7 linked regions of the Sus scrofa genome follow. The protein of the gene in region 3 interacts with the protein of the main gene of each other region in a pairwise test. Links are inferred from orthologs where the notes say so. Each region holds a gene or a part of one and is shown on either strand. Other genes may lie near its edges. The genes, in order: SSX2IP, CCDC136, NDN, APBB1IP, GKAP1, P4HA3 and ZBTB1.

Region 1 (3,945 bases), on a different chromosome or scaffold from region 3:
AAGGCTCTGGCACTTCAGTGAGCTGTGGTGTAGGTTGCAGACATTGCTCGGATCCTGTGCTGCTACGGCTGTGGCTTAGGCTGGCAGCTGTAGCTCTGATTGGACCCCTAGCCTGGGAACCTCCATATGCCTCGGGTGCAGCCCTAAAAAAGCAAAAACAAAAGGAAAAAAAGAAAAAAAAAAAAATACACGGCTAAACTAATTTAAAAGAACTCAAACTGACATGAATGGTTTGGCTTGAGGGACAATTTTATAAACTCAAAAATCATACTTCTGACACTCAAATCATATTGCTATGAAAGGTTAGGGTATCCTCTTGCTTAGCTTTTCTCTATGGATTAATCCTATACCTGTCACATTAAAAAAAAGTATGCAATTCCTATATGCAAGTAATGGAGCAAAGCAAAATTATTATTTTTTAACTAACCAGTTGTCTCAATTTCTAGTTTATATGGATATAGACCATCTAAAATTATTTGTATAGAGCATGAAAAGGACATTTCATGAGTTATTGAGCTCAATCCCTCCACATTTATTTCTTTGTGTAATACTAGCTTATTTATTCCCTTTGCACTATCTTAGCCAGCTGCTTCTTACCTATTTTTTTATCCTTCTTGTTCATAACAAGTTGATGTAGACGTTCCTTTAGTTTATTATATTCACGCTCTTTTCTCTTCATGTCATGATTATATTGAGTAGCTCGACTTGCAATGATATTTTGTAATTTTTGCACCTAGAAAAAAGGCATTTTATATTGAATTAGTCCCTTGAGAATTCACTGGTAAACCCAGTTCCAATGTACAAATTCAAAAGAGAAAGTAAAGTCCTAGCTTTCAGCTCCTCATGTAATAGTTTAAAAGTTCTAGGATTATTCTTCCTTCTCCATAACCACTGGAAATCACTCTTTAAAATATCACTAAATGAGGAGTTGCTGCTGTGGTGCAGTGAGTAGGGAGTCCAGCTGCAGCAGCTCAGGTCACTGCAAAAGTACACGTTTGCAGCTGTGGCATGGGTCATGGCTGCAGCTTGGATTCTGTCCCTGGTAGGGAACTTTCATGTGCCTCAGGTGCAGCCATAAAGTAAGAAAGTAAAGTAAATAAATATCATTAAATGAAGCACATAAAGTTTTTATTTTTTAATTCTGAAATTTTCAGAGCTGCTAGCTTTCTAAATTATCTTCTACACCTTTCACCTTACATACAGATTCTGATCACTTAGAAACCACAAACTCTTACAAAGTAGTAATGTGATTAAAGCTTCATCTGAAACAAGCAGACTTCATCTGATCATCTGTAAGGACCTTATTTTACTTCAGACATGAATCGTTTCATCCTTTATCAATCTGTGACAAGGTCAATTAGTCATGGCACATGGAAGCAAGTAAACAGGTTCATTTTCCTCTGATCAAAAATAGTTTTCTGGGGAGTTCCCATTGTGGTGCAGTGGAAATGTATCCAACTAGTGTCCATAAGGATGCAGGTTTGATCCCAGACCTTGCTCAGTGGGTTAAGGGTCTGGCGTTGCCATGAGCTGTGGTGTAGGTTGCAGATTCGGCTCGGATCCCATGTTGCTATGGATGTGGTGTAGGCCAGCAACTGCAGCTCCAATTCGACCCCCAGCCTGCGAACTTCCATATGCCAGGGGTGACGCCCTAAATAAATAAATAAATAAATAATTTTCAAATTAGACTGAGACCAACAGCATACAGAATCCATTTCAGATATTTGCTGAGTACCTATTCTATGCTAGGTACTACTGGTCAATGTTTATATCTATTATGGCTTCTCAGGCAGTGTTGGATAGGAAGTAAGTTCTACTCTACATAGCCACTCTTTGCAACATACACAACAATGAAAACAAATGTTACAGTTTTACAGTTATGTGGTCAGAAAACTGCAGAGCAATAAAAACAATGGTTTCTATTTACATAAATTAAAAGATAATTCCAAAAGCATTATCTATATAGATCTGAATAATACTAAGTAAACACCAAAGCAAATATTAGAATTACAATGTCTTTAGCCAAGAAATGAAAATTTTTTTTTTTGGTTTTTAGGGCTGCAACCATGGCATATGGAAGTTCCCAGGCTAGGGGTTGAATTGGAGCTGTAGCTACCAGCCTACAGCACAGCCATGCATGTCTGTGACCTTCACCACAGCTTATGGCAAGGACAGATCCCTGACCCAGTGAATGAGGCCAGGAATCGAAGCCACATCCTCATGGATACTAGTTAGGTTCATTACCACTGAGCCACAACAGGAACTCCAAAATGAGATTTTTTTTTTTAATGTGAGTTGCTTTTTTTAAACAATAATTTGTGTGCCCATTTAGTCAAATAATTGCCTGACTGGATGAACAATAACATTTAAGACAGTGTAAGAAGAGGCATGCTAGACATAAGAACAGATGTGACAGAGAATAAAATACCTGCATTGAAAGCAGACCCTTACATCTAACAAAAAAGGGACAGTTCAAGTGGATACAGGATGGATGGTATAGAACACTGGCTGTCACCAGCTATGGACTAATACACTAAGCCAAATGGACCCCCCCAACCATGTCATGGAGAGAGTTCCTGACCTCTCAGTTAAATATGATACAATACTGGGAGTTCCCGTCATGGCGCAGCGGAAAGGAATCCGACTAGAAACCATTAGGTTTGGGGTTCGATCCCTGACCTCGCTCAGTGGGTTAAGGATCTGGTGTTGCCATAAGCTGTGGTGTAGGTCGCAGATGCAGCTTGGATCTGGCATTGCTGTGGCTGTGGTGCAGGCTGGCAGCTGTAGCTCTGATTGGATCCCTCGCCTGGGAACCTCCATATGCCCGCAGGTGCAGCCCTAAAAAGCAAAAAAGAAAAAAGATACAACACTGTACACAGAAGTCCAGCATCTCCATTTGACACAGGATAAATAAATGGTTCGCTCTTAAAGTGAAGTGACCATTATGATCACCTCAAATTACACACACATAAAAATTCACTGAAATTTTATCCATAATAACTGACAACTTACCTCGTCTTTCTCATTTTTCAGTAGCTGATGCAAATTCCTATTCTTGCACTGTAACTGTCTATCTCTTTCCTGAAGCCCAATCACTTCTCTCCTGGAGGTTTCCAGTTGTTCCTAAAACATTCATATGCAATTTTGATTAGTAAAAAGTCATACACACTAGGATTTGTTACCTAAAATTGAAGTTTAGCAGCACACGAAATGTTTATTTAAAACATTGTAAAGTTTGACACTACAGAGTTGCAAAATTTAACTTTGGATATAAAATTTTATTTCATTTAAATACCATTTTTTTTCTTTTTTGTGTCTTTTTAGGGCCGCACTCGTGGCATATGGAGTTCCCAGGCTAGTGGTCCAATCGGAGTTGTAGCCTCCTGCCTACGCCAGAGCCACAGCAACACAGAATCCGAGCCGAGTCTGTGACCTACAGCACAGCTCACGGCAACGCTGGATCCTTAACCCACCGAGCAAGGACAGGGATTGAACCCGCATCCTCATGGATGCGAGTCAGGTTGGTTGACCACTGAGCCACAACGGGAACTCCTTTAAACACCAATTTTTAATGTATGCACAAAAGACCTTCAGAGTGGATTCCTTGAAAGACTTTTCAACTATTCCAGTGATGTGGCCCCTGAACATTTTTATAATTTCTTTTTACTACTTTTTAACACTTCCACAGCACATTCTGTGAAAGAGCCAACAATGATTTGGAGTTCAGTCTGAAGAAGACAGGCGACCATGCAAAGCCGACCACTTCAGGTCAAAAAGGACGGGACCTCAGCATGACATCAGTTCTGCCTTGCAAGGGGTAAACTCTCAAGATTTCTGCTAGAGATCAATGGCAGAATCAATGGACTCAACATGGGATTAAGGTGCTCATTTCAGTGCATTCCACACACTTCTGGAGGAACTGGGCCAAATTCTGCATGAAGCTCC
Region 2 (4,687 bases), on a different chromosome or scaffold from region 3:
TGGAGGGGAGCTCAGTCCTCTGAGGAGCCAATGAAACATCTTGATCTGTGCTCACCATCTCTCGGAGCACATACCAGGCTGGAGGTATGAGAGGGAGGAAGGAGGGGAGGAGAGAGAGAGATTTATAGGCAACATTATTGGGTTTTTTTTTTTTTTTTTTTTTTTTTTTGCGTGTGTGTCTTTTGTCTTTTTAGGGCTGCACCTATGGCATATGGAGGTTCCCAGGGTAGGGGTCGAATCGGAATTGTTGCCACCAGCCTACGCCACAGCCACAGCAACGCCAGATCCCAGCTGCATCTTCGACCTACACCACAGCTCACGGCAATGCCGGATCCTTAACCCACTGAGCGAGCCCAGAGATTGAACCCACAACCTTATGGGTCCTAGCCGGATTCCTTTCCACTGCGCCACGACGGGAACTCCAATACTATTGTTAATAGGCAACACTGAACACCTTAAGTGTGGGATCATACGTTAAATGATAAGCAGAGCATTAATTAGGAGATTTAACTTCACTCATTTATTCTGTGTCAATGATTTAGATACTGGAGATACAAAAACGACTAAGGCAATTTCCTGGTCTTCCAAACACTGGGCTGACAGGAAAGTCAGAACATGACCTTGACAACCTAGAGTGACTGGTGCTGCTTAGAGGGAAGGGGGAGGGGTCGGAGCACAGCAGGAGCATCTAATGGCTTGGCTGGGTGGTGAGTCGGGAATGGCTGCCAAGAGATGACTCCCAGCTGAGTGTTTAAGGGTACGTAGGGGATGTCGAGGCAAAGAAGGGCTTCTCTCCTGAGGAATATGGAGGGCTTGTGAACTTGGGAGCCGGTGGGCGTGATCCAGACAGTATATGCCCATGACCTTGTAAGTGGATGCGCAAGAGAAGGGACTGTCCCTGGTTTAGGAATCTCCCAGTGATTTTCCAGATGTGCTGGAACCTCCGGGTTCCCAAGTGTACCCATTTCTTTCCTGGCTGAGACCTGCAGAGGCGTGAGCCCAATTGGTTCGCCAAAATCTGGCACTTGGAAGAAGTTCCTTGAAGGAGCGGTTGAGTGAAATAAGCTATCTGGGCTTTCACATCTCCCTTCTATGAGAGTGAAAATCGGCAGTGCCCACTCTAAACAGCTGCAGAGGCTAGGTGAGTAGGGGTTGTGGTTTGCAGACCACCGGGCCTGGGGCCCGGTGGGAAGGCAGGCAATGGAGAAAGGTCTTCGACACTAAGGGCTGCGTGGGGTCCCGGAGCGGCCCCTTCTAAGAAGGTCCCTGCTTGTGGCTTGGCGGAGGGCGCAAGGCCAACAGAGAGATCAAGGCCCGCAGTTGAAGTATCCTGGCTTCGGTTTCCCTCCTCCAGCCCTGGAGCAGCCCTGAGGCTGAGGCTGGCGGCCGGAGGGTCTGCGCTGACTGCCCAGGTGGAGGGTGCCGCTCAGCCGTGGGGAGCAAGGGGCGTGTGAGCATCCGCGCGTTTGGAGGAAACAGGCCAGGAGGATTTGGCTCTCCTGGTGCTTGCTTTTCCTTCCCCACCGCCGAGCAGGACCGGGCCCTGGCACTTGGCGCAGAGGGGTGCCCCCACGCAGCCGCCTCCCGGCAGGACCCACCGCCAGACCAGGGGAGCCGGTCGCTCCCTCGGCGCGGGCCTCGGGGCGTGTCTGGCGACGCGCTTGCACCGGGTCCGGGAGCTGGGGTGCAGGGCCGGCTTCCGGGCGGCGGCGGCGGCGGCGTCAGGTGGCCTGGCCAGGCCCCGCCCCCTCGGCCGGCCCGGCCTTCCTTCCCCTGCGCACCCGGCTCCGGTCCCCGGCCTGGCGGCGGCGGCGGCGGCGGCTGCTCCGGGCGGCGGCGGCGGCGCGAGCGGCCATGGAGGCGGGCGCCGGGGCCGGCGCGGGCGCCGCGGGCTGGAGCTGCCCGGGTCCAGGTCAGAGCGCCCCTCCCTCACTTCGCCACCGCCGCTCCTTCCTCTTCTCCATCTCTCCTCCCTCCAGACCCCCAGGTCCTCTCCCCCTCCGCTGCTCCCCACCTCTCCGTCCTAAGTCTTCCTCCTCCATCCTGCCCCCAGCCCGGGCTCCGGCTCCATCTTTCCGGGCTGGCTCTTCCCCACACCGGCCGCATCATCCCTGGCAGTCCCTCCCCTGAGCCCACTCCATCTGGTCTCTCCAGCCTGACGGTGCTTTTTGCCTTGGGGGCTCCAGACCCCGCACCTGCTCGGACCCTGAAGGCTTCGGAGCGCGGGGCGGAGTGGGGAGGACGAAGTCCAGTGAGAGCTGGAATGGACGGCAGCGGCCCCAGTCCAGACCCCCTTCCCGCACGCGTCCCCTCACCCCTTCCCCTTCCACCTCACCCTTTGAGCCTCTTCTCTTTGCTGGCTCCCGCCCTCTTCCATCCTTGCCTGTCCCCTCTGGGCTAAAGAGACACACACACGCCCTTTCTGTCTGTGCAAGGGAGAGGAGCACGGACTGGGGGGCAGAGAAGCTGGGCAGTGCAGGGCGGTGTCCCCGCAGGCCCGCTTGAGGGGCCACCTGGGGCGGAGAGTCGCAGCCCTGGGCAGACTGAGCCAAGTACTTCCACTGGGATGAAAAACCCCAGGGCTCCAAAGGGCTAGGAGGCATGTCCCCTCCCCTCCCCGCTGCACCCCAGCCCCCAGCCGCCCCTAGCATCCCACAGTGCCCCCTCTCTCCCTGCTTACAGGACCCACAGTGACCACTTTAGGCTCCTACGAGGTGTCTGACGGTTGTGAGAGGAAGAAAGGCCAACGCTGGGGGTCCCTGGAAAGGCGTGGAATGCAAGCCATGGAGGGTGAGTTTTCCCCAAAAGCTTTCTTTCCCTCCACCTCGTCCAGCTTCCCTCTCCTCCTTCCTCCCTCTGACCCCCAGAACTCTGAGCCAGGACACAGCCCTTCCCCAAGTTCAGCTCAGCCCCCTCCAACCCTCCTCAGGGCTCGGGCTTTGGGGAAAGTTCAGGGTACATCCCTTTGGGGTCCTAACCACCAGCTAACCAAGTTGTGTGTCCCCAGGGAGCTGCCAGAGAGAGAAAGAGGCCTCCTTGGACAGAGATTTGAAGCAGCTGTGCAGCAGGGGGTTTGTTCTCGCTGCCTCCCGACCCAGATCCCAAGCTGTCTCTTATTTTGAAAAGCCAGAGGAGTGAGCATGTGAATTGTCTTTCTGGTGTCACCACTAACTTCAAATGGAAGCCTTGTGACTTCGGTTCTCTAGGTTATCTTACTGCCTGAAAGAGGGAGCCTGGGAGAGGGGCCGGCGAGAAGGCCAAGCTCCCAACGCGCATCTCACCCTCGACACCCACACAGCTTGGCACTTGCTGCCTAAATGAGGCCCCTAGAAGGATGCTGGTCCTATTTCCAGGACTTTCTGTGTAGGGTCCCCAGGTCCCTATACACACGTCCACGCTCCAAGAGGGACGGATGAGACAAGGGGTCCCAGATAAACCTTAGGCTGTGATTATTAGACAAAGATGGACCAGAGATTGAGAATTTTAAAACAAAGCAAGCTCTTACCATCCAGGCAAGATTTTGCTATTGAGAGGAACTGCATTGCAGCAAAGGAGAGGGGTTGCTCACCAGCCAGAGGCTGGGGACCAGCACACCCCCATTTCTTAATGCATTAAAATGGCAGGCTTTCTTTTATTCACGAGGAGAATCCTTGACTTCCCCCCCAAAACTGCCTTATGGTCAGCAGGGGAAGGGGCCTCAGAACACTCAGGGAGAGGAGGGGAGACCTCCTGACACAGCAGAAAAGAAAGGTGGACCTGGCAGAAAATTTCCAAAGGGCTATTCGATAGAATGTATTTGAAAGGGGCCCCGTCTTTGTCCAGAAAAGCATTTAGAATCATTTCAGATGATTCTCTTTGGCTGTTCTCTTTCTCTACTGACTGACAGGCAACGCTTTCTTATTATGGAAGGGCTAATTTCTCACAAGCCACCTGGATCCTTGGTAAACTTAGTACAAACCCCCAAACTGTAATTCTTGTCCTGTTGGGCTTAAAGACACACCCGGTGTCTGACTCTTTCTTGACTACCCAGAGACGAGGCTGGAGGAAGCAGCTATCCTTGTGCGAGCCTCATGGGGCTCAGCCGGGCCCTTGGCTGCTCAGTGTGCCCAAAGGCAGTACTAGGAGGCCACCAGGTGCAGCACTGGTCCAGGAAGGGCCCGGGAGGGGGATGGGCTACCTCCAACCCCGACCCTCACACCTGAGGACTCGTCCCGTGTGCAGGTCCTGCCCAGAGGCTCCTTGGGGGACACCAGGTGGCACTATGATACCATCTCTGCCCTGGGACAGCATGCTAGAGGGCCCTGGAAGGACCAAGGACAGGAAGCTGGCTCTTACTCGCTGGGGGTGGGGGGTCTTTCCTAGGGGAAGTGTTACTCCCAGCCCTCTACGAGGAGGAAGAGGAGGAGGAAGAGGAAGAAGAGGGGGAAGAAGAGGATGATCAGGTGCAAAAGGGAGGAAGCGGGGGCTCCTTGTCCCTCAGTAAGCACCGGGGCCTGAGCCTCACGGAGACCGAACTGGAGGAGCTGAGGGCTCAGGTGCTGCAGCTGGTGGCAGAGCTGGAGGAGACCCGGGAACTGGCAGGGCAGCATGAGGATGACTCGCTGGAGCTGCAGGGTGAGTGCCTGTGACGGACCCCGAGGGCCGGGGCCCAAAGGCTCTGTGCTCCCTGGATCCCAGGCCTGACGCC
Region 3 (3,055 bases):
AACTAATTGGTTAGTTAGACAAATAAAAAAGTCTTAGGAGGGATTTGGGTGTGGCTGTCAATTTCTGGAACCAGTCAGTTTGTGTGAAAGCGCAGAGGTGGGGTCTACACGAACACACCCGTGAAGGCTACATCAGTCATAAGGGGAATTAGGGTCCTTCCTGGACAAACAAGTAGAAAGACATCATACTAGTCTGTGCTAATAAATACAGCAATCTTTGTGTGATGAGATCCTAATCAAAAAATTAAAATTACATCAAAATTACCCAAGGGAAGTAGAAAAACCAAAATCAATGACCATTCAAGCACCTAACAGTATCATTAGTACATTGTCTTCAAGAAAGTTTCAGTTGTACATGTATTGACTACATTCTGCATTTTTCCTTCATAACCCCCTGGACTTGGCAGTCAGGAAATCTTTTTTTTTTTTTTTTTTTTTTTTTTTTTTTCCCCATAGCAGGCTACGGGTAGAATTGGAGCTACGGCTGCCAGCTGACACTACAGCCACAGCAACACTGGATCCAAGCCCTGTCTGCAACCTACACCATAGTTCATGTCAACATCAGATCCTTAACCTACTGAGCAAGGGCAGGATTGAACCTGCATCCTCATGGATACTAGTCAGATTCCTTTCCGCTGTATCACAATGGGAACTCGCAGTGAATCAATCAATTTTTATTGCTATCTTTCATGATTCTGATATCCCGCATCTTTTTCAGAGTTGACACATTTTCTTGGGTGACCCTGATTGTTCTGTCAGTTTAAATTCTCACACTTGTTATCCAAAACCCAAGCTTATGTGCCAACCTGGGCCTTTCTCTGAAACTCACATCTAACTTGATTCTACATATACCCAATTGAACATTTCCTAAGAAATTCAGCTTCAGCATCTTGGAAGCTTAAGTTTCCATCTTTCCTCTTAAACTTGCTCCTTGTCCAGTGCTCACCCATGTCGCTCCTCCCCCCGGCCCCAGGACCGCCTCCTTAGCCCAAACTGGACGACTGTGGGTCATGAGGCCAGTATTCCACTAGGCCCCCTACCCCTTTGGGACCTCAATACACCCCAGCCCTCCAGGCGCCCCGCCCCTACCGCCAGCCGGCAGGGCCCCCACAGACCACGGATGCGCAGGCGCACTAGCCTGTCCCGCCGCCGCCCCGCCCCGCCCGGCCGCTGCGGAAGGCGCCGCGCGCAGCAACGCGCACTTCCTCTCCAGGAGTCCACCGAGGGAGCGCAGAGTCGAAGAGCTCCTGGACGCAGCGGCCGAGCCCTTGCCAGACGGAGCAAACATGTCCGAACAAAGTAAGGACGTGTGTGACCCCAACTTTGCAGCCGATGCCTCCCACTCCGAGGTGCACAGCAGCCCTGGGGTGGCCGGGGGGCCCTCTCCGCCTGCGTCCCAGGCCGCGACCCTCGCAGGGCCAGAGATCCCTCCTGTAGGCCCACCCGACGCCCCTCTGGCCTCGCCGCCGCCCCAGGCCCTGAGCGAAGAGGGAGACCCAAAGGCTCTACAGCAGGCCGCGGAGGAAGGCCGCGCCCACCAGGCCCGGAGCACAGCCCAGCCCAGCCCAGCGCCGCCGGCCCCGGCCCAGCTGGTGCAGAAGGCACATGAGCTCATGTGGTACGTGCTGGTCAAGGACCAGAAAAGGATGATCATCTGGTTCCCAGACATGGTGAAAGATGTCATCGGCAGTTACAAGAAGTGGTGCAGAAGCATCCTGAGGCGCACCAGCCTCATCCTCGCCCGAGTGTTCGGGCTGCACCTGAGGCTGACCAGCCTGCACACCATGGAGTTCTCGCTGGTCAAAGCTCTGGCGCCTGAGGAGCTGGACAGGGTTGCTCTGAGCAACCGCATGCCTATGACAGGCCTCCTGCTGATGATCCTGAGCCTCATCTACGTAAAGGGTCGCGGTGCCCGTGAGAGTGCTGTGTGGAACGTGCTGCGCATCCTGGGGCTGAGGCCCTGGAAGAAGCACTCCACCTTTGGAGATGTGAGAAAGCTTATCACTGAGGAGTTCGTACAGCAGAACTACCTGAAGTACCAGCGCGTCCCCCACGTCGAGCCCCCTGAGTATGAGTTCTTCTGGGGCTCCCGTGCCAGCCGTGAAATCACCAAGATGCAAATCATGGAGTTCCTGGCCAGGGTCTTTAAGAAAGACCCCCAGGCCTGGCCTTCCCGCTACAGGGAAGCTCTGGAAGAGGCCAGAGCCCTGCGGGAGGCCAACCCCACTGCCCACTGCCCCCGCAACAGTGTCTCCGAGGACTAGCAAGGTCTGGAGGCAGATTGATGGTTTCTGACCCTCACCAGGGTGGTGGAGGGGTGGGGGTGGGACATTAGAGTATTCAGGATTTACAGTGCAGTATTTCACGTGTAACTTTTACGTTTTCAGTACAGTGCTTTTATACCTTTTAATGCAATGTTGTATTCATTTCAGTAATAATTAGGTAGTGTGTAGGATTCATGCATGTTTGTTTATAAGTAAGCTCAGTTGGTGCTTTCGCTTTTGTGCTACCTTTCTTGAATTTTTTGTACCAGAGACGTGCTAAACTTATGAAATACATTGAGACATTTTCCATCTTATTCTTTTACATGGGACTGATGATGTGTATGGGGGTAGACAGGTACTAGAGAGTTTGGACGAACTCACCAGTAAAGCTGGTCTAACCAAGAGAAAAGTCAAGACCTCTCTCTCTGTGATCTTGCTGGGCACAGGAAACATCTGTCTGGAGTGTGGTGATGTGGACTTAAAGGGGCTCAGTATGGACACTTGGCACAGTTTACTAAACACAAAAACAACCCCACCATGAGTAAACTTTAAACATTAAAGATTCTTGTGATACAGTCATTTTTATGGAAAAGTGTACTTTTATCTTTTTAACAAAGTAGTATGGGTTGGGAATGAGATATTTTACACAATGTACAGATATATTTCATCTCATAGGGTGGGGAAATCGTGACTCATATGTGTGAGGTGTATAGTTTTTTTTTTTGCAAAATGTAACTCACATGTTCATTTCAAAAATTTGACAAAGAGAAAAGTATGAAAAACAGAAAAGT
Region 4 (4,519 bases), on a different chromosome or scaffold from region 3:
ACTGCCCTACCCTTTCACCATATTCCAGTTACAGTGGCTTTTCTAACCTTCTGTGTTCCTATCTCAAAACCTTTTTTTGCTCTTCCTTCCCTTGGAATGCTTTTCCAGTATCTGCCCCTTTTCATTATTTTGAAAGAGGTATTCCCTGACCTCTTTTCCTTTCCCATGAAAGTCATTCTGTTGCTCAACTTGACTTTGTGTATAATACTATGACTCTGTTCAGAACCTCCCAACAGCTTCCCATCCCTCAGAGCAACGTCCCTACCGCAGCCAGGAGAGTCCATTCCTTGCTGTTTTTCCAACATCTCAAGAGCCCTCCTAACTCAAGGTCTTTGAATGTGCTCTTCCTTTTGCCTGAAATATGCTCATCCAAAAATCCACATAGATTAATTTCTCAAGCATTTAGGTCTGGCTCAAGCGTCAGATAGAGCCAGATCTTCCTTGATGACCCTAATTAATGCAGCATCTTCATCCCCACTCCCGTCACTTTCTATTTTTCCCTTTTTAATTTCCCTCAAAATGCCTACATTGCCTGACATGTTAAATATTAATTTCTATATTGTCTATTTTCTCCCAACTAGAATGTACCTTCCATGAAAGCAGGAATTGCTTTCTTCTTTACAGTTTTTATTATTCTGAGAAGAGTTCATGCTGGACTATCTATTCAATGACTGAACTATCTTGAGTTACCTAATTAATTTATGGGTCTAATTTATGCCATTAGGTCTCCACCGGCTTCCCCACATTTAAGCCCTTGAAGACACATCTGTAGGAGGGAAGAAGAGGTGAATTAACCACATTTCCAAATCTAACTGATTTCAACTTCCACGTTTTCAAATCTCCCCCCTTTCCATCTGGAGACTCCACTCCCAAAAGTCAGGGGGTGAGGGTGTATTTCTAGTTAGTCCTTTGAGATTACAAATCGACTAACTAAAAATAGCCAGGTGCATGTGGATTATTCCTTTTTCAACACTGTATCTCCAAAATACAATCTTAGAAGTCGCATTGCTGTCTCAAAGGTCATTGCGGGAGTTCCCTGGTGGCCTGGAAAGTTAAGGATCCAGTGTTGTCACTGCTGTGGCTCCAATCACTGTTGTAACTCAGGTGCAGTTTCTGGCCCAGGAACTTCCTCATGCTGCCCACGTTACCAAAAAAAAAAAAAAAAAAGTCATTGCTGAGGTAAATTAAATAGTTGCTACCAATAATGTCCCCTCCACGGTGTCTGGACCATTTTGAACTTCCACCAGCAATATGGGAGAGGCCACATCCTCGCCCACCAACTGAGTGTCGTTAAGCTTTGGGGCGAAGGTTTGCCAATCTGATAGGATAGTTGAAAAACCGCCTTTCCTCTGCGGGTCGCGCCCTTCCACACCCAGGCACCAGTGGAGACCGAGGAACCCCGGCCTTGGCGCCTCCCCTCCCACGAAGGCTGCTCCACTCTGGCTCCCACGACCCCAAAGGGCAGCCAGTGCGTGGCCGGGAAGCGGGCCTTGCATAACCCGCCTGAAAGAGGAAGCTCAGAAAGGGCTGAAGTCAACACTTAGGAAGACCGTTGCAAAAAAAAAAAAAAAAAAAAAAAAATCGACTTCTCAAGCTTTTGTGGAATCATCATCGGGCCCCCAAGCCCTTAGCCACCCATATATCCAAGCGACAACGAAGCGGCCAGTCCCAAGATAGGGGGGCGCGTGGCCCAGGTAGGGGAAGGATGAGAGAGGCAGGTGCAACTTCTCCCAGAAGTAAAACCAAATTGTTTGCTTCGGGAGGGTGTGGGCGGGGTAAGACGAAATGAGACCCGGACCCGCTGAGTCGCAAGAAGCCGCGTACTAGAGCTAGAGGCGCCTTAGTCCACGTGCGTGGGTGTGTCTCTAACCCTGCGTCCTCCTTGCCCCTGGATGCGAGAGGCTAGCCAGCGCCCCACGTCTGCGCGCTGTGTGAGAAGGGCAGGGCTGACACCACTTCCTCCCCCTGCCGCAGACCCGAGCCCGGGCGCTACAGAGTGCACAGCGTCGCCTTCCCGGCCGCCGCCCCGACGCCGGCCGCTCCCCGCCGCGCCCGCAAGTCCCCGCCGAGACCCCACCAAGTCCCCGCGCCGCCGTGCACAGCCGTCGAGGTAAGCGGCGCCCGCCAGCCCCGGGATACCGGGAGCTACACCGGGAAACGAGGGGCTATCGTCCGACCAGGAGCTCGGCCCGTCGGGTCCGAGGCCCGACCCAGCTCTCGGTGCTGGCGCTGTGAACGCGCGCTCCCCGCTTGGCTCCCGAGGGCGGTGGGCCCTCGGACTCCGCTGTGAGGATCCCTCATCCCTGTACTTGACCGAGCTCCGCGGGGGGTTGGAGCTAGGGCTCGCCTTCCCCGCGTTCCTTTTCACCAGATTTGACTGATTTCCTGCCCAGAAAATTGCTACAAGGTCAAACGGGGAACTGGCCCGCACCCTGGCCTGTTAAGCAGGTCCGGGAACCCCAGTCTCACCGACGCTGAAGGAATTTCTGGGGGCCTTTCAGGGCGCTGTAGGGTGAATTCAAGTCGTGTGAGAATTTGATAGTGATTTCAGTCTGATGCATCTTAGAGTACTTCCTTCCTTGAAAACTTCCAGACAACTGTTCCTCCTCTTCACAAATAATTTTTCCTCCGAATTATTGCCTTTTCATTTTAAAATAAGATAAAAGAAAGATTTGGACCCCGGGCACAAGTTTTGTAATTTGGCTTGGAATGAATATCCAGACTGCTCTTTTCTAGCGTGAAGCAAACTAACTGGATGTCATTATATCCAGGAGGATGAGGGGACTGTCCCTGAAAACCTTGCCCAGTCCACCTTTTATTTTCCTGCTGGGAAGGTATTTCTTATCATTCATACCGCTGTGGAACGCTAAACATGTGTTTTCCTAGAGCCACTCACGGCAGAGCAGTTCAAAAATAACTTTTAATGTGATCATTTTAGGAGAGGTGGAGTAACAGGAAAATAACATAAAGTAAAAGCTCATGAGTTTATTACTCCGCAAGTTATGATTTCTGGTGGTCTAATGTGGTTTAAATAAAGGTAGGTATGCTAGCTACTATTAATTTTAAAGTCTAGGCCTCTGAGCCGAGGTTGTCCCTTTGAATAAACCTCCAGTGGCACTGTTCTCTCCTGTCTCACTGAAATGCTAGGATGGCACATGGGCAATAAAGCTGGCTAGCAAAATATCAGAGGATCTACTATGAAACTTCTGTAATGTCTTCCGGATGGTATTTCCTGTTTGCTCAACGTGTTGTGAAAGGTTTAAGAAATTTAATGTCATCCTCAGACTATTAATACTTAGTAATTTTCATACTATTACTAATATTTGTGTCTTTGGGTATTTGGAAGACTTGAGTCCTGTTCCGTATCTGCCTTTAGAAAGGACAAGCTTGATTAGGTTGCTTCATATCTCTCTGGACCTGAAGTAACTTATCAGTAAAGATCATTGCCTGCTTCTGTCTGACATTAAAATAGCAATTGAGGAATTGCCATAATTCTTTGAATTTGTCCTGTCTGGAATGCTGACGAAGTTAAAATTGCTGATCAGTAACAAAGGAGAATGGAGAAAATAATAATAATAACAGACATTGTTAGATTCTGAAATATTTTGAGGCCTTGTGTTTCTAAAATGTTCCTTATTTTTAAGTCAATTTCTGGTGTATATGTAAAATGGCAAATTTTCATTCTATGGAAAAACTTTGTAAGGAGTTCATGTGCCCAAGCTTGGTTAGGCAGATACTAGATTTCAGAATTCTTTAATTATTACATCTCAAGAAATGTAACTTTGTAATATGGATTACTTTAAATCTTAAGCACAGTATTTACTAGGTTATCTGTTATCCATTAAATATTTTGTATGAGAAAAATCCTGAGAATGTATACCAATCACCTGCTATTTTTGCCCTTTTTTCACTTGTAAATAAAAAGTTCTAGATATTTTTATATTATAGGAATGAGCTGTGGGAGTTCCCTGGTGACTCAGTACGTTAAGGATGTGGCATTGTCACTGCCATGGTGTGGGTTTGATTCCCTGGCCCGGGAACTTCTGCATGCTGCAGGTGCAGCCAAAAACCAAAAATAAATTTAAATATATTAAAAAAAAGAATGAGCTACTTATAATATTTGTTGCCATAAGTGTCTGTGTTTGATATGCCACTTTGATTGATGTAGCTTTGTAGTATTGTATGAAGTTTGGGAGGGTTAAGCCTCCTGCTTTGTTCTGTTTACTGAGGCTTGCTTTAGCAGTTCTGGGGCTTTTATGGTTCCACATAAATTTTAGGATTATTAGTTCTAGTTATGTGAGAAATGTCATGGGTAACTTGATAGGAATTGCATTAAATCTGTAGGTTGCTTTGGGTAGTATGACTGTTTTAACAATATTAATTCTTCTAATTCAGGAGCATGGGTTATTTTTCTGTTTCTTTGACCAGCTTCAATTTCCTTTATTAAAAATGTTTTGTAGTTCTCGGCATATGTCTTTCACCTCCTTGGTAAGGTTAATTTCTAAGATGCCTTTTTTTT
Region 5 (4,425 bases), on a different chromosome or scaffold from region 3:
CATTTTCAAACATTTGAGCATATGTTACAGCTTTCTATAGCAACAGTCCTTCCTCAGATTTGGTACTGGAGCAAAACAAACTACTTACAATTTCCTGACCACACATTTAGTTGTTCGTATATTTCTGCTGTGTCTTTTGCCTAAAACGCCCTATCTTCCATTTACAATTTGTATTTGTTCCTCAAAATCCTGCTGAGGTGCCAACATTTCTGTAAAGCTTTCTCTAACCTGCTTGTTGAGTTAATCATTCTCTCCTCTGTGATATTTCTGTGCTTTATATTTACTTTTATTACTGAATAGAGTTCATTAAAATGATCTGTTTGCTGCTGTGCCTAGCCCCTCATAATTCTGATTTCAACATCCTGAAAGACAAAGGCTTTTTCTTTCCACCCCAAATAAAACCTGGCACAAAAAAGGATACATTTATTGTATTTGGTTTTTTAGAAGGATTATTGAAATTGCCCAAGTATACAACTATCTATGCGTTCAAAGACGTGCTCTCAAGTAGAATGGACAGCAAAATAAAATGCAAAGTGTGATAGACATAATGCCGAATCCCTAGAAGCAAGTGTGCATTAACAATGATTATTAGCAGTTTAAAGTTGTTTTACTCTAAGTGTCATTCTAACTGATCACCACAATTAATTGCGTTTAGGAAGCATAATTGGTTTTAAAATATTGATTAAAAAGAGTTAGGATACAGGAGCTTAAGCAAACTACGTTTTAAAATGAACAGCCTCAACTGCCAGCAGCAGGATTTCTAAACAGCTGATCCTCTTGGTCTCTTCTACCAAGGTTCTGAGGTTCACTGCCACTATGATGTCATCCCTCTAGACTATAATCACTCTAAGGTCAAGAAAGATGGTAGCAGTAGCCATACCTCATTCCTGGGAATCACAATTAGGGCATTTCAAAACTGATTATGTATAAAATCCTCAATCAAGAACAACCCAATATATCCTCTTTCTTCCATTAAGCCTATCAACCAGTAAGCCTATGAAAAAAAAGAAATGAATATAATGTAGATGCTTCTCTGAAATATAGTTTAGATTCAAAAAAAAAAAAAGCCATAAAATGAAATGGCACTGAGTATGAGTGACTTCACATCTGGTGAAAAAAATTTTCATTGTATTATGTCAAATAACACAACTAAATATCTTTCACGTTGGCTTCTTATATCTTTTTTTTCTTTTTCTTTTTAGGGCTGCACCTGCTGCAAATGGACAGTCCCAGCTAGGGGTGGAATTGGAGCTACAGCTGCTGGCCTAGACCACAGCCACAGCAACACCAGAACCAAGCCGCATCTGCAGCCAACACCATAGCTCACAGCAACAGTGGATCCTTAACCCACTGAGTAAGACTAGTGGTCTAACCCCCGTCCTCACAGATACTAGTTTCCCCTGAGCCACCATGAGAACTCCACTTTGACTTCTTATAAACTAAGGTTCACAACCAAGTGCCAAGTGCATATCAAAAACTTTGCTCTCAACACACTCGCTGTAAACAAATCACATAAATTTAATGTGTATGCCCTAAATTTCATGTCTTTCTTCATAGTTAAATATTGCTTCCCCACTCCAATCTGCAGCACCTAATTTCTGTGGGCTGAAAAACCGAGCAAAAAGCACAAGCTGGTACTGTGTGAGGACCTAAGGGATTCTCCCATGAATAAAGCACACATATTTTCCTTTGCCCCAGTGATCTCTCAAGTCAACTTCTGGGTTTCTGCTCTTAGTCCACAGAGCAAAGCCACCTGACTGATACCTTAAGTTTGTTGTAACCATTTATGACAAGAATATCTTCCATTAATAAGGATTTGCTAATGCCATCTAATGCCGTATATAAGCCTGCTGAGAAAAAAACATCTGTATTTCCACAGATTAAAGATTTTAATATTTTTGATTGCCATAAAGTTTCTTTAATATTCTTATAGCTGAAAGTCAAATTTATTAAACTGGTGATTCAAGTTACAGTCACAAGCATGTTTACGATATAAAGAAACTGACAATACTGAACAGTGCCGAAAAAATTTCACTGGCTTTTCAGGAGAGGAAAGACACTCTTTCAGTACTGCTTCTAATGAAAGCTGTAGCAGGTAGGCAACTGTAAAATCTGGCTAAGGTAAGAATGGAAAACTCTAAAAAGAAAGTGGAGAGAAAATTTAATAAGTCATTTTTATCCTTGTTGGCTATCTACCAAGCACCCTAAGTGCTAGAGATGACAAAAATTCTGGAATACTGCTTGTTCCAAACAATAATTGCAAAAAAAACCAACAAAATTCAACACCCTTCTTTTTTAGTTTTCAACAGCTAGCGTGGAGGAGGAGCACTTTATTCAAAAAGTAATTCATGAATGAAATTCACTCATTCATGAATGAAAGCCAAATTTCGCCCATAGGCTGTTAACCGATGCTCCAAAACTTATTCGCGCAAAGTACACAGAGAAAGAAACGGGGCTGGGCAAGACTTAACCCGGGCAAAGAAACGGCTTCAAAACCTGAAAGGGAGAGAACGGCGAGTCAGGTCGTCGCTCCAGAAATTTCCGAGCGCCTGCCTCCCCCGGAGGAAGACCGCTCCCCGCGACGGGGAGGGGACGGCGGCACCTGTCAACCGGCGGCCCCGCCACTGCGGTCGCCCCCGACCCCGGCCCCCGCGGGGTCTCGGGAGGCGCAGGCACGGCCCGGGGCCTGGGGTCTCCGCCGGTCCCTCTCCTTCGTCCCTGAGCCCGCCGCCGAGCGTCGCGGCCGCGGCCCTTCCCGAGGAGCGGCCCTCCCGCGCACTCTGCCCGGCAGCTGTGGCCAGCGGGGCCCGCCGCCCCCCAGGCCAAGTCCCCTACCGCTGAGCCCCGGGCGCACAGAGTGGCGCGGCTGAGCGACCGCCACCGCCTCAGAGGCGCCCGAGCGGACCCAGCGAGGCGGCCCGCCCTCCGCGTACTCACCGGGCCTCCCCAGCCGCCGGTTCGGCCCTCCTCTCCCTCCTCCCCCTGCCGCCGCCGCTCCGCGACTCCCGTGGCGGCCGCACTGGGCGTTGGGACCGGGCTGGGTCACGTGTCGGGGGGCAGAGATGGGCTCGCGGCGGGCGAGCGCCGGGCACTAACGGGCCCCGTGGCGCCGGACCGGGCGGACCACGGCGGGGAGCGCGGCTGCGGGCTGCGGTGAGGGGCGGGGAGAGCGCGGCCGCGAGCTGAGGGCGGGAGGGAAGTCCCGGCGGAGGGGGCGGCGTGAGAGCCGCGGGGCGGGGCGGGGGCGGGGCCTGGCGCGTCTGCCGCCGCGCGCGGGGGTTTGTTTATTTTCTCGGTTGGTTGCGGCGCTGGCGCGTGGGTAGAGGCTCTCCGGTGACGTGAGCGCCCGGAGTTGGGGGAAAGGGCCAGAACCACCTGCTGGAGAAGGGGAGCTACGGGGGCCGGGCAGGGTCCAAACGTCTCACGTAGGCGGCGACGCCGCGGTCTTCGAGGGGTTACCGGGAAGAGAAGGGCTTTCCCGGAGCGGATGGAAGGAGGGAGGCCTCCCGAGAGAATAGGACTCCAGGCCGTTCACCAGCAGTTCGGCGGCTTCACCTGCATCGCGGAGAGCAGTTAGAGAGCCCCTGGGGTAGAGAAGGGTCGGTGGAATGTGGGGGCCACTCGGGGCTCGACCCCCTGTTAGTGAAGTAAGGATGGTCCTCCAGATCAAGGTTTGAATAGAAAGACTGCATCAGATCTCTATAAGGAAAATAACGAATATTGCTCAGTTTTCTGTAGAGTTACACTTTCACGTTATCTCCCTTGGTGTTCCATCAGGTAGTAGGACTCTCACTTTACAAGCCTAGCTGAGTGACTTACTCAAAGCCTCGCAGCTAATAAATGGCAGAGCTGGAACCCAGCTGTCTTGACTTCAAATTCTGTGCTGCTTACGGTTACATCACATTATCTCCCCAAATCACTTTGATTCAACTTTTAGTAGGCGCCCCCATAGGTGAGACACTGCAGGGTTACAGAGAGGAGTTGAAGATGCTGTCCTTGTCTTCAGAGTAAGGAATAAAACACGTATAATGAGAGAAAAGCCAGGATAGGTACCACGTGAAAAATACAGGGAGTACTGCAGAAGATTACTGAACTGCTCAGACCGGTCTAGCGGATTAGGAAAGAAAGGCAGCAAGGAGGCTGCCCTGGGGATTGACCTTGAAGGGGATGAGGATGGTTTTACAGCAAGAAAAGAGACCATGAGAAAATGTATGGGAGTTCCTCGCGGTTAACCAACTGGACTAGTATCCGTAAGGACGTGTGTTCGATCTCTGGCCTCGCTCAGTGAGTTAAGGATCCAGCGGTGCCGTGAGCTGTGGTGTAGGTCTCAGACGCAGCTCGGATCCTGCATCACTGTGGCTGTGATGTAGGCTGGCGGCTACAGCTCCGATTCGACCCCTAGTCTGGGAACCTCTATGTGCTCGT
Region 6 (4,698 bases), on a different chromosome or scaffold from region 3:
TACCCGGCCACAATACATGGGCTATTTTAATTCGGTATATTTCTTCTTTGGAATTGAGAAATGGCTTTGTCTTGGTTCTTCTGAGATATTCTGAATGCTTGATTCCTAGCACAGAAATAATTGCTGCTGATACTACTTTTAAATCTTGATGGTTTTAAAACTGCAACAACAAAAAAAGCCAGGGGTTAACTATCTAAATATGTGTGTGAGTGTGTGTAACTAGTATATGTGATACTACATTAGTATACAAATATATACATTACAACTAGTATAATTTTTATTCATTAACTTGTAGTAAAGGGTAGTAGTTTCAACATCAAAAATATTTAATTTCTAAATTCAGAAACTCAAAGAAGAATATCAAGTTAGGGCCTTAGAAATAACATCTCAAGTTACATTAGATCGCCAGATTGGCAATATAGGAAAGTGAGCAGTAATTCCCAAAATGCTTTCTTCAAAAAGCAAACATTTCACCAGGTTTTGGAGCACTGACTAGAGAACAGTCAGTCTCTAAAATATCAAACTAAACTTTCTGAAATTTAATGTTCATAAGTCATATGAGAAGAGAGTCTGGAATTTTTCTGATTCTTTTTTATTGTCTAAGCTTTCAGAGCCCTAGTTACTGCTTACAGCCAAAAGCGGGGTCTAGTTTCACCAGCCAGTCTTAAAATAAACGACAACCATAAAGAGCTAACATTTGTTGAGCAATTACTACATTCCTTTACATGGTATATAATCCTTCCAACAAGCCTATGAGGGAAAGCACCATTTTTATCACTGTTTTACAGATTAGGAAATACTTTAAAAAGAGGTAAAGGAACTTGCCCAAGGTCAGAGCCAAGCATTCAAACAGACGTCTGTTAAATTCCTGAAGCCAGACTCTTAACCAATATGTACTCCAGCTGCTCATAAAACTCAGTGGCTCTGGGGCTTGGTGACGTCCTGGCGTCTTGTATAGAGCAAGCAGTATGGATATCACAGCTTGAGAGAACCAGTCAAAGGAGCTGTGTCCTAGACCTGGATTTGCCACCTATTCGATTTTGTAATCTTGGATAAGGTACTATACTTTTCTGACATTTTAAATGATTTCTCATTTATTTAAGAGAGTAATACAAACCTATTTCAAAGCACCGTGTTTGAGAGAAAATCAAAGGAGATAGGTTTGTGCAAGACCTCCCACTGTGACAAAGCTGTGACAACAATGGCAAGACAGTAAAGGAGACCAGTTGGCAGAAGGGGCACCCTGGCCAGTCCTTCTGATCAAAGCTTTGAGCTCTCTCTTCTGAGATGTGTGACATCAGGATTCCAACCACCATCTCCATCTAAGCCACACGAATAAAGAGATGAGTGGTATGCGAACAAGCAGATGGGCAGCAGGGAGCGTGATGACATCTCGAACCAAAGAGAAGAGGCTGTTCTATTTCTACCAATGAAACTGGACTCCAACAATCTGGGCTAAGAACAAAATGAAATCGTTTATAAACATGGGCCTACAGAACACTAGGCAACTATACTACTCCAAAGAGTAGAATTATTCAAGAATTGTTGAAATTACCATCATTTATCATGACACACATACATATACTAAATATATATGTGTATCATCACACTTTTCCAAATTAACAGATTTACATATGCATATAACTGCTTATATGCATGCTGCATCCTTAAGAGCTTGTACCAGATTACATCGCCATTCAGTCACCCTTGGGTAACAAACAAGCTCTCACACTTCCTCACACAAACTGATTCTCTCCTACATGGGTCCTCCACACAGCGCTCACTCATACACGCGGTATCTTATCTGATCGTTTATCTTTCACTAACACTGACAGAGTCATACACGGTCACAGTGCCTCAGCGTTCCAAGTCCTACAGTAGTTGGTCGGTTGTATAGCAAAACAGTACTGGCTAAGCATCTGCTGGTGTGTACACCCTGCATCCGCTAGTATCAAGTAGATTATTGCCCAGTGTTTTCCGGGTGTCAAATACTTTCATACACATAATAGCATCTCAGTGACAGTATTTAAAGAGTTCTTAACATGTGCAAAGAGGAAGGAGAGCTGAAAGCAAAGGGAAGGACAGAGATCTCATTTTAATAATCATGATATTACAGACTCCAAGCTCCTAGAGGGCAAGGCTGGGTGTTGTTCACCAGTCCCTCCCCAGTGCCCAAAACAGTGGCTGGCTCAGAGTAGGCACTCAAACATGTGCTGAACGACCTGATGAACACGAAGTGTTATTCACGTAGTGACCCAGACAACTGCCAGCATCTTTCACAGGCACAGTATGACAGCCATAGAGTCCTACCCACCCAGTCCCAATAACACATAAATCTCACACACGGTCCAGAATGTCACCTATAGCAAGTATCAGTTCCTTGGGTCACGTGGTCAGCACGTGTGGCTACAATGTCACCATACACTCTCCATTTCACTCTCGCAGTGTTGCTGTGTCTTTGTGACACAGCTCGGGAGCCCACACAGCTTGAGCCAGTACCCTGTGAGGTCCTACTTCCTCTTGGAGTCACCCCCCACCCCCCGGGCCCCTTCCCACAGTGTATCAACTTGGCTGTGTTATGTTGGATGGGGGTGTCACCGAGTGTATGGAGTCTGAAGTCCTACCGAGTGTGACAGTGAACCTAAGAGTGACTCCCCCCACCGCGCCCCGTGGCACAGTGTCTCCCCACTGCCCCATTCAGACTCCACCCCAGTGCCCTCACCTGGTCAAATCCCGCAGCCGCGCCTCCTCCCCGCGCAGGTAGCGCCGCAGCAGTCCCAGCAGCTGGCGCTCTGGCGCCAGGGCGCGCGCCACACTGGTGAGCGCTGAGAACGTGTCCCCGCGGGTCGCGACCCCCGCTGCGTCCCCTGCCCTGAGCGCCAGCACCGCCAGCAGCGCTGCCAGCCCTGCCGCAGGGCCCATCGCTGGGCTCGCGCGCTGGTCCCCTCAGACGGTCCGCCCGGCCCTGCGCCCGCCTCTCCGCCCCGCCCCGGCCCCGCCCCCGACTTCGCGTTCTGACCCCTCCCCTCGCGCTCCACGTCCCACCTTCCAGCCCCTTAGCGCTTCAGACTCTGCGGGGGCTGCCGGTGGTCCGCTGCCCTCCACTAAACCACAGCTCTAGAAAAGCATTTCCACTGTGCCTATTTCACACTTGGGGAAACTGAGGCGGAGGGTGTGGTGAGGAATGAATTCACCGATTTATGGCTGTACAATGCCATCCCCAAATATTTACCCCTGTGGATCAAGCAGCGGAAATACAGCAACGGCATAGGATTCTGATGGAGAAGTCAGGAGAGCAAATGTATGGTCACAGCAGTGCGGGTGGAGCTGTGACGGACCAAGGGGAAGAAAGCACTTCATACAGGACTTGACCTCTGAACCATCTTGAAGGATGAACAGAATTTTGACCAGAGAGAGAGAGAGACGGCCATTAGGATCAGTGCCTGACAAATCTAGAACCTTTAAAATAAAAAACTCTAGGGTTCTGGGTCAGTGCTCTACACAACATACCCATAGGCATTTAAGCAAATAAAAATATTATTATATCCTACTACTGTTCTTTCCTCCCCTAGGCAATATTCATTCATTCATTTAACAAACATTTAGCATCTCTTGTACTGTGCTGAGGACAGAGAGATATAGCAGATCCAACAGTGGACTCATAAGGAGAGACAGAGGTGCAAACAAATAACCATAAAGTGCTGTGGGAGTAACCAGCGGCTGTGCAGGGAGCCATGACAACCCTGAGGAGGGAGCCCATTCCCATGCAGAGACTTGAGAGGGCTCCACAGAGGACGCCTTGTGCAGAGGTCCAAAAGGGTGAAAAGGAACTGCCTGCAAGACGACAGGCAGGGAGGGATTGGAGAAGGTATTTATGTATATCAAGGTTTGGAGCTGGGAAATAGTTTGAGTTGCAGAAATGATGAAAAGTTCCTTGCAGCTGGACCTGTCAGACTGTGAAGGGGCTTTGCATGTCATATTAAGAAATTCAGACTGTCCGCTACGAGAATCCAATGGAAGTTTTAAAGGTGGCATTCATGGACATCCAGCAACTGAGCAAGGAGAAGGAATAAAGTTCCAGCCATGCAGGCCCAGCATGAGACAGCTCTGACTGGCAATACTAGCTCCAGCCCACTTGCCACACTGGTCAAGCTTTGCCAAGCCTCCTGACCTCCTCCTCTGCCCTTTCCTGCTTCGTGTCCCTTTCACAGATGTTGATCCCCAATGAAGACCTTGCACCTTAAATCCATCTCAGCATCTCCTTCTGGAGACCCTCATCTGTAATAGCAACACAATCCACGTGGCAGCTAGTAAGCAGGAACCTGAACCTTGGTACCGTAGATCCGGGTATCCTATTCTTAATCGCTACCAGAGGCAAATGGACCATAAAGCTTTCGAGGCTTAAGCGTCAAGGCCTCTGACTTGCACAAACCCTTTCCAAAGCCCTCAGGATTGAGGAATGGTGGAGCCCAACAAGGTGGTCGCCCTGTTACATGTATTTGTAAAATTAGCAAAATAAAGCTGTTTTAACCACAATTGGTTAAACTGTCTCTTCCCACTCTGACACCCTCTCCATCACACTTCCCCTCGTAGCACTTCCCCTCGTAACACCTCCCCTATGGTGGGCATGCTGGACTGGCCAAGGGTCTGAGTTTGCAACTGAGTAGTCATCTCAGCCTGCTTTCTGGTTAGGGTTGT
Region 7 (4,686 bases), on a different chromosome or scaffold from region 3:
AGGGTTGGGCAAAAGGTGTAGAAAGTCCTCTTTTCTTGCTGACCAACCCTGCGATGTTCCACACTTCCTGTTAACCTCCTACCCATCAGAACTCATCTATTCCGATTCCTATCCCATCAGTGTTCCATTCCCTATTAAGGAACTGATGTCTGACAATGGACTAATAGTTTACCCTTAATTAAAGCATATCCAGATGGCTAAAGGGGTCTTTGGTGCCTTTACCCACGGAAGCAACTGCTAGTCTTTGTTATCCTCGGCAAGAATAGTGCTGGATTTTTTTCGTGGCAGGAGAGGGACGAGCTTTGAGCTCAAAGTACATTAACAAGCACTCTATTCCACCTAGAAATAGTGCCAACTCCATTCCTTAAAATACCAGAGCCATCACACACTGGCCAAGTTTAATTTCTCAATAACCGGAATTAAATCAAGTATAATCACCTCTGGCAGATCGTCTCTACAGTGAGTGGGTTAAACTGCACCGCACTCCTGGTGTGGTGGAGTGCAATGACTAAGGCATCTAGAGAGAGCCTTGGAGTCCAGTTACTGAAGAGGTATAGGGCTTTGATCAAGCTACACAGTCTTTCCGCCTGGTGTTCCGTAAAATGAGAGATGAAGTGCATTTTCTATCAGGCTCCTTTCAGCTTTAAAATTTGTGACTCTAAAGTGTACTTCACGCACATGACAAAATCCTGTGGGAATCAAAAGCGCTGCCAAAATGACTTGACTCTCAAGAGAACGCATGCCATTGAGGGGAAACAGGAGCGTTAATATATGAAGCAAGTTAGCAGCTGTTAGTTTCCAGGCACAGTGCACAGCCTAAGCAGCTTGACAACAGCTTGATTTTCCCCAAATAATAAGTGCTAGGGAAGGCAGTGAGAGATGGAGCAAGATGGGGGGGGCTGGATTTGCTTAGGATAAAAGTAATATAATGTGAAAAAAGAAGGATAAATGAGGGGAGGGGGGGAGGCAACTTCCTGCAGGGTTAATCCCAAAAGGGGATGAGGAGGGAGAAGGAGGCCAGTAGCTGCAGCGTCTGGCAGGTGGCACCTGGAGAACCGCCCACTTGAGAGAGCTGCCGGGGTCGCCGCTGCCTGGCGAATGCCGCAGGCGGGTCGGGGCTTTCCGGGCGGGGTCGCAGTCTGGCCCGCAGCTATAAGAGCTCGGAGTCGTTGCTGCGCCCCCGCACGCCCCCGGCCTGCGTCAGGCCCTAACAGCTGCGTGCTGCGGGCAGCGAAGGACCGCTCTGGATATCCTTGGCCCAGCTCTCACTCGTGGTTGCCATTTTCCTTCGGTGCCCTGACATCTCAAAGAGACCAAAAACACCCCCCTCCCCAGCTACTTGCATCTGTCCCGCGACCGACGCAGCTGCAGGCCGCCGCCCAAAGCGGCTCGCGGCGGGAGGGACTGAGCCCGGGGCAGCCCACAAGGGCCGGGCCGCGTTGCTTACCCAGAGGCCGCCGCGGCGGGCGGGCTGCTGGCCGACTCCTCCGTGCGGGAGGGGCGGCTCCCGCGCCGCGTACGTCACGCGGACACGCCGGCTCACGCACCCCGCGGTTCGTTCTCGCGCGGCTTCCCGCGCCAACAGCCCCGCGATGGGTCCACGTGACCGCGCGCCTGGTAGCCGGGGAACTTGGGGCGCTGGGGCCGGAGTGTGCGTGCGTGCGTGCGTACGTGCGCGCCCGCCTGCTCGCCCGCTCTAGTGGCTTGGCGGGGGTCGGCCCGCGTTCTAGGTGCCTCTGCCACGGTCGCTAGTCGTGACTCTGTAGGCGGAAGCGTGGAGCGAAGCCTGAGCGTCACAGGCTCCCCACACAAAACCGCGTGACCCGGGGACTTTCCCTGGGGTGTGCAAAAGCACGGGCACCCCTCAGTTCGGGGTGGGGGCAGGGAAGGATGCGCCCGCATACTCGCGGGCTGAGGGGTGAGGGCGCGGGGCCAGGGAAGCTGAACCACGGGAGCCTGGGAGGGGAGGCGGGCTGGGCGGGGTTGGGCATGGCGGGGGAAGTGACTCAAGGCCAGAGGCGGACAGGCCCACGGAAGGCAGGAGTGGGGGGAGCGCGGGCAATGGGCGACCCTGAACTAGCTGGCCGCGCACGGGACAGAGCAAGGGTGCTGGCGCCCCCAGAACGTCAGGGACATACCGTGAGGGAGGGCCCAGCTGCTGGGCCCTATGGGGCCGGGGTCTGACATCTGGACAGAGTGGGAAAGCAGCATCCTGCCCTTGGGGAGTCGGGAGGAGCCCAGTCCCATCCAGCTGTGCAAACAGGAGGAGGAGGAGGAGGTCCCAAGCCTACCCTAGGGAGAGGGGCAAGAGGGGTGGTCAGGCTGTCGCCGCGCCGGCCCCCGCGGTGCGGGTTGCGCCAGCCTCCTCGGAACCCGACGCAGAAACTTGTTGCAACAAACAGGCGACCGCGGGTGCCCCTAGCAGCCAGCGGCGGAGTGGGTGGGCGGTCGAGAGGGAGGGGAAGGCTGGCGGACGCCGCAGCGAACTGGTGGGCAGACCCGGAGTCGCCGCGTAAGCGGGGCCGGCTCAGTGCGGTGCAGCAGGCGCGGCTGTGCGGCAGCGGAAGTCCTTTGTTGCAGCACAGTCCCTGGCAGAGCCAGAGCCTCTCCGCGCAGCCCAGCCCGAGCGCCGCGCGTCGCCGCCACTGCAGCTCGCGGCCCCTTCGTCTCCGCCCGCCTTTCCTGTGGCTGATTTGCCTTAAACTCCCTAAAATTTCCGCAGCCCCGGATCCTGCTGCGGCCGGTGAGTATTTGCCAGTTGTGGGGCTATTTGCGCAACTTTGGCCCGGGCGGGAGGGTGACGGGCCGCGAGCTTGACGGAGTGCGGGGCCGGAGCGGCGCCGACCCGTGCGGGGAGCCAGAGCGCGGCGGACGCGCTGCGAGGACCCGGCGACAGGCGGTTGCCGGGCCGCCTGCTTGATCCCGCCGCCCTCCGGCGCGTCTGGTCGGGGACGTGCGGCCTCCCTGGGTCGGAGGCGAAGCCCACGGAGACTAGTTCCCAAATTAGTTACCTTCTTTTTCCTTTCTTTCTCTGCCTTTATTTTTTGAGGGGGGGGGGGGGGGAGGTGTAGACGGGAGGCGGGAGGACCCGGTTGATTGACGTGCCCAGAGCCCGCTTCTCTCAACTTACAGCCGCGGCTTCTCGGCGGGTGGGAGGGGAAGTGTCCCGGAGCCCGAGGCCGCAGACTTGGGCGCGCTCCGAGGGAGGAGGCATAAGAGCCGTGCAAATTCTTGCCACGCTCTTTCCCCCCACCCCCACCCCGCCGGCACACACGCTTTTTGTTCAGTAAAAAGTGGTAGGTCTCGAGTTGGGGAATTTTCAGTGGAAAGATATGTTTCCTGGGAGAAAAGTGCTTTCGCTTCCAGCGTTGGGAGCTCACTAGAAGTTTTCGGTAAATGGGTTGGATGCAAATCGAGAGTCGTTACCACTAAAATATGTAGGCTTCTGTCTGAGCTCAGCTATCCTCCGAGTCTCCCTTCCTACCTAAGCAGCACATCTACGTGATCTGTCTGCAGGGTTGACAGGACATTTTTCCAAATTGGGAGCGTCAAGGAGATGTTGGTGGAAGTCCTTGATGTTTTCTGGGAACAGTAGGGCATTTGTCTGTTGTGTAATAATAGTCCTAAATTGAGATTCAACGTGGTAGATACCAGCAGGTTCTTTATTGGCCAAGTGTATTTCCAGGCAGAAAAACTATGCCAGGAACGCTTCCCTTTGACACTCGAACCCAAGAAGTGGTCCCAGGCTTTTTGAGACTTGGAATCAATTTCTTGAGCTGAAGTTCAAGGCACTCTGGAGCAGATTTGGTGAAGGATGCAGTTTTCATGATAACTCCAAACTAATCATCACCTTCTCCTTTGAAATTATGAAACTTTGTCATTGCAAAAAGATACGATGAGGAGAATTGGGATACAAAAAGAAGAAACTTGAATGATGGCTGGCCACCAGAACCTCAAAATTTTCCTTTTGAATTACTTATATCTAATAAAGTCTCAATGATAACTGAATAGCTTTGGAAACTAGGTGGGGGCTTCTTCGTTGTAAAAGAAAATTGAAGCATAGTGAAGGTAAAATGTTTTTCCAAAGATTAATAAAATAATACAATCTGTGAGTGGAACCTTGAGTCAACATCTTATACTCATTTTAAAGCAGATTGTCTTTTATGACCAGATTTTCATGGTATAGAGTAACTCATTGGAGCAGTCTTACCTGAAGCCTTCTATTCTTCCTACCCAACATGGCCTAATTTGGGGGAAGTGGGGAGCCCTGGTGCATCACTGTCAGAGAAAAGAGAAACCATATTTAACCAGGACCTTAGCAGGGCAGAGCACCATATCAGCCACTTGCTCTTGACCTTGTGTTTGATTTTGCCTTAACCCTGCTAACTTTTTGTGCTGTTTATCTATTCTCCTCTTTTGCCAGGCTCTGGGGAAGAATTAGTTCATGAAGCTCTTTAAGGGTGTCTCTGTGTTCCTTGCAGCCCACCCATTCTAACATGCATGAGAAAACAAGTGCCTGCTTTTAGGCCTCCTCCCTCCATCCAGAAAAGTGCTAAGCTTTTGCTATTAAGCTTCTGGCCCAAAGGGCATGAAACCATCTGGGATGAAAATGTGGAAAAATTTTCCATAGATTTTTACTTTTAAGCCATAATATGTTGTCTTCCCCCCCCAAATCAAGATATGTTT

What was found.
Region 1: the proteins of NDN (region 3) and SSX2IP interact in a two-hybrid assay, tested with the Homo sapiens proteins (2 studies listed by BioGRID). The link is inferred for Sus scrofa from reciprocal best matches to the Homo sapiens genes NDN and SSX2IP.
Region 2: the proteins of NDN (region 3) and CCDC136 interact in a two-hybrid assay, tested with the Homo sapiens proteins (2 studies listed by BioGRID). The link is inferred for Sus scrofa from reciprocal best matches to the Homo sapiens genes NDN and CCDC136.
Region 4: the proteins of NDN (region 3) and APBB1IP interact in a two-hybrid assay, tested with the Homo sapiens proteins (2 studies listed by BioGRID and IntAct). The link is inferred for Sus scrofa from reciprocal best matches to the Homo sapiens genes NDN and APBB1IP.
Region 5: the proteins of NDN (region 3) and GKAP1 interact in a two-hybrid assay, tested with the Homo sapiens proteins (2 studies listed by BioGRID and IntAct). The link is inferred for Sus scrofa from reciprocal best matches to the Homo sapiens genes NDN and GKAP1.
Region 6: the proteins of NDN (region 3) and P4HA3 interact in a two-hybrid assay, tested with the Homo sapiens proteins (2 studies listed by BioGRID). The link is inferred for Sus scrofa from reciprocal best matches to the Homo sapiens genes NDN and P4HA3.
Region 7: the proteins of NDN (region 3) and ZBTB1 interact in a two-hybrid assay, tested with the Homo sapiens proteins (2 studies listed by BioGRID and IntAct). The link is inferred for Sus scrofa from reciprocal best matches to the Homo sapiens genes NDN and ZBTB1.

The regions. Positions count from the first base shown.
Region 1 is NC_010448.4:129,087,117-129,091,061, reverse strand, and holds part of SSX2IP (afadin- and alpha-actinin-binding protein), read right to left. Parts: intron 3,124-3,945; coding exon 3,013-3,123; intron 734-3,012; coding exon 598-733; intron 1-597. UniProt on the Homo sapiens protein: Belongs to an adhesion system, which plays a role in the organization of homotypic, interneuronal and heterotypic cell-cell adherens junctions (AJs).
Region 2 is NC_010460.4:19,820,859-19,825,545, reverse strand, and holds the start of CCDC136 (coiled-coil domain-containing protein 136), read left to right. Parts: upstream 1-1,808; 5' UTR 1,809-1,854; coding exon 1,855-1,912; intron 1,913-1,978; exon of another isoform or gene 1,979-2,251; intron 2,252-2,682; coding exon 2,683-2,790; intron 2,791-4,362; coding exon 4,363-4,614; intron 4,615-4,687. UniProt on the Homo sapiens protein: May play a role in acrosome formation in spermatogenesis and in fertilization.
Region 3 is NC_010443.5:142,411,402-142,414,456, forward strand, and holds NDN (necdin), read left to right. Parts: upstream 1-1,286; coding exon 1,287-2,264; downstream 2,265-3,055. UniProt on the Homo sapiens protein: Growth suppressor that facilitates the entry of the cell into cell cycle arrest.
Region 4 is NC_010452.4:49,239,980-49,244,498, reverse strand, and holds the start of APBB1IP (amyloid beta A4 precursor protein-binding family B member 1-interacting protein), read left to right. Parts: upstream 1-1,634; 5' UTR 1,635-2,110; intron 2,111-4,519. UniProt on the Homo sapiens protein: Appears to function in the signal transduction from Ras activation to actin cytoskeletal remodeling. Suppresses insulin-induced promoter activities through AP1 and SRE. Mediates Rap1-induced adhesion.
Region 5 is NC_010452.4:31,140,559-31,144,983, reverse strand, and holds the start of GKAP1 (G kinase-anchoring protein 1), read right to left. Parts: upstream 3,186-4,425; 5' UTR 2,938-3,185; intron 1,001-2,937; exon of another isoform or gene 881-1,000; intron 1-880. UniProt on the Homo sapiens protein: Regulates insulin-dependent IRS1 tyrosine phosphorylation in adipocytes by modulating the availability of IRS1 to IR tyrosine kinase. Its association with IRS1 is required for insulin-induced translocation of SLC2A4 to the cell membrane.
Region 6 is NC_010451.4:8,664,794-8,669,491, forward strand, and holds the start of P4HA3 (prolyl 4-hydroxylase subunit alpha-3), read right to left. Parts: upstream 2,971-4,698; 5' UTR 2,923-2,970; coding exon 2,723-2,922; intron 1-2,722. UniProt on the Homo sapiens protein: Catalyzes the post-translational formation of 4-hydroxyproline in -Xaa-Pro-Gly- sequences in collagens and other proteins.
Region 7 is NC_010449.5:88,573,963-88,578,648, forward strand, and holds the start of ZBTB1 (zinc finger and BTB domain-containing protein 1), read left to right. Parts: upstream 1-1,600; 5' UTR 1,601-2,743; intron 2,744-4,686. Other genes in the region: ZBTB25 (zinc finger and BTB domain-containing protein 25), read right to left, coding at 439-620.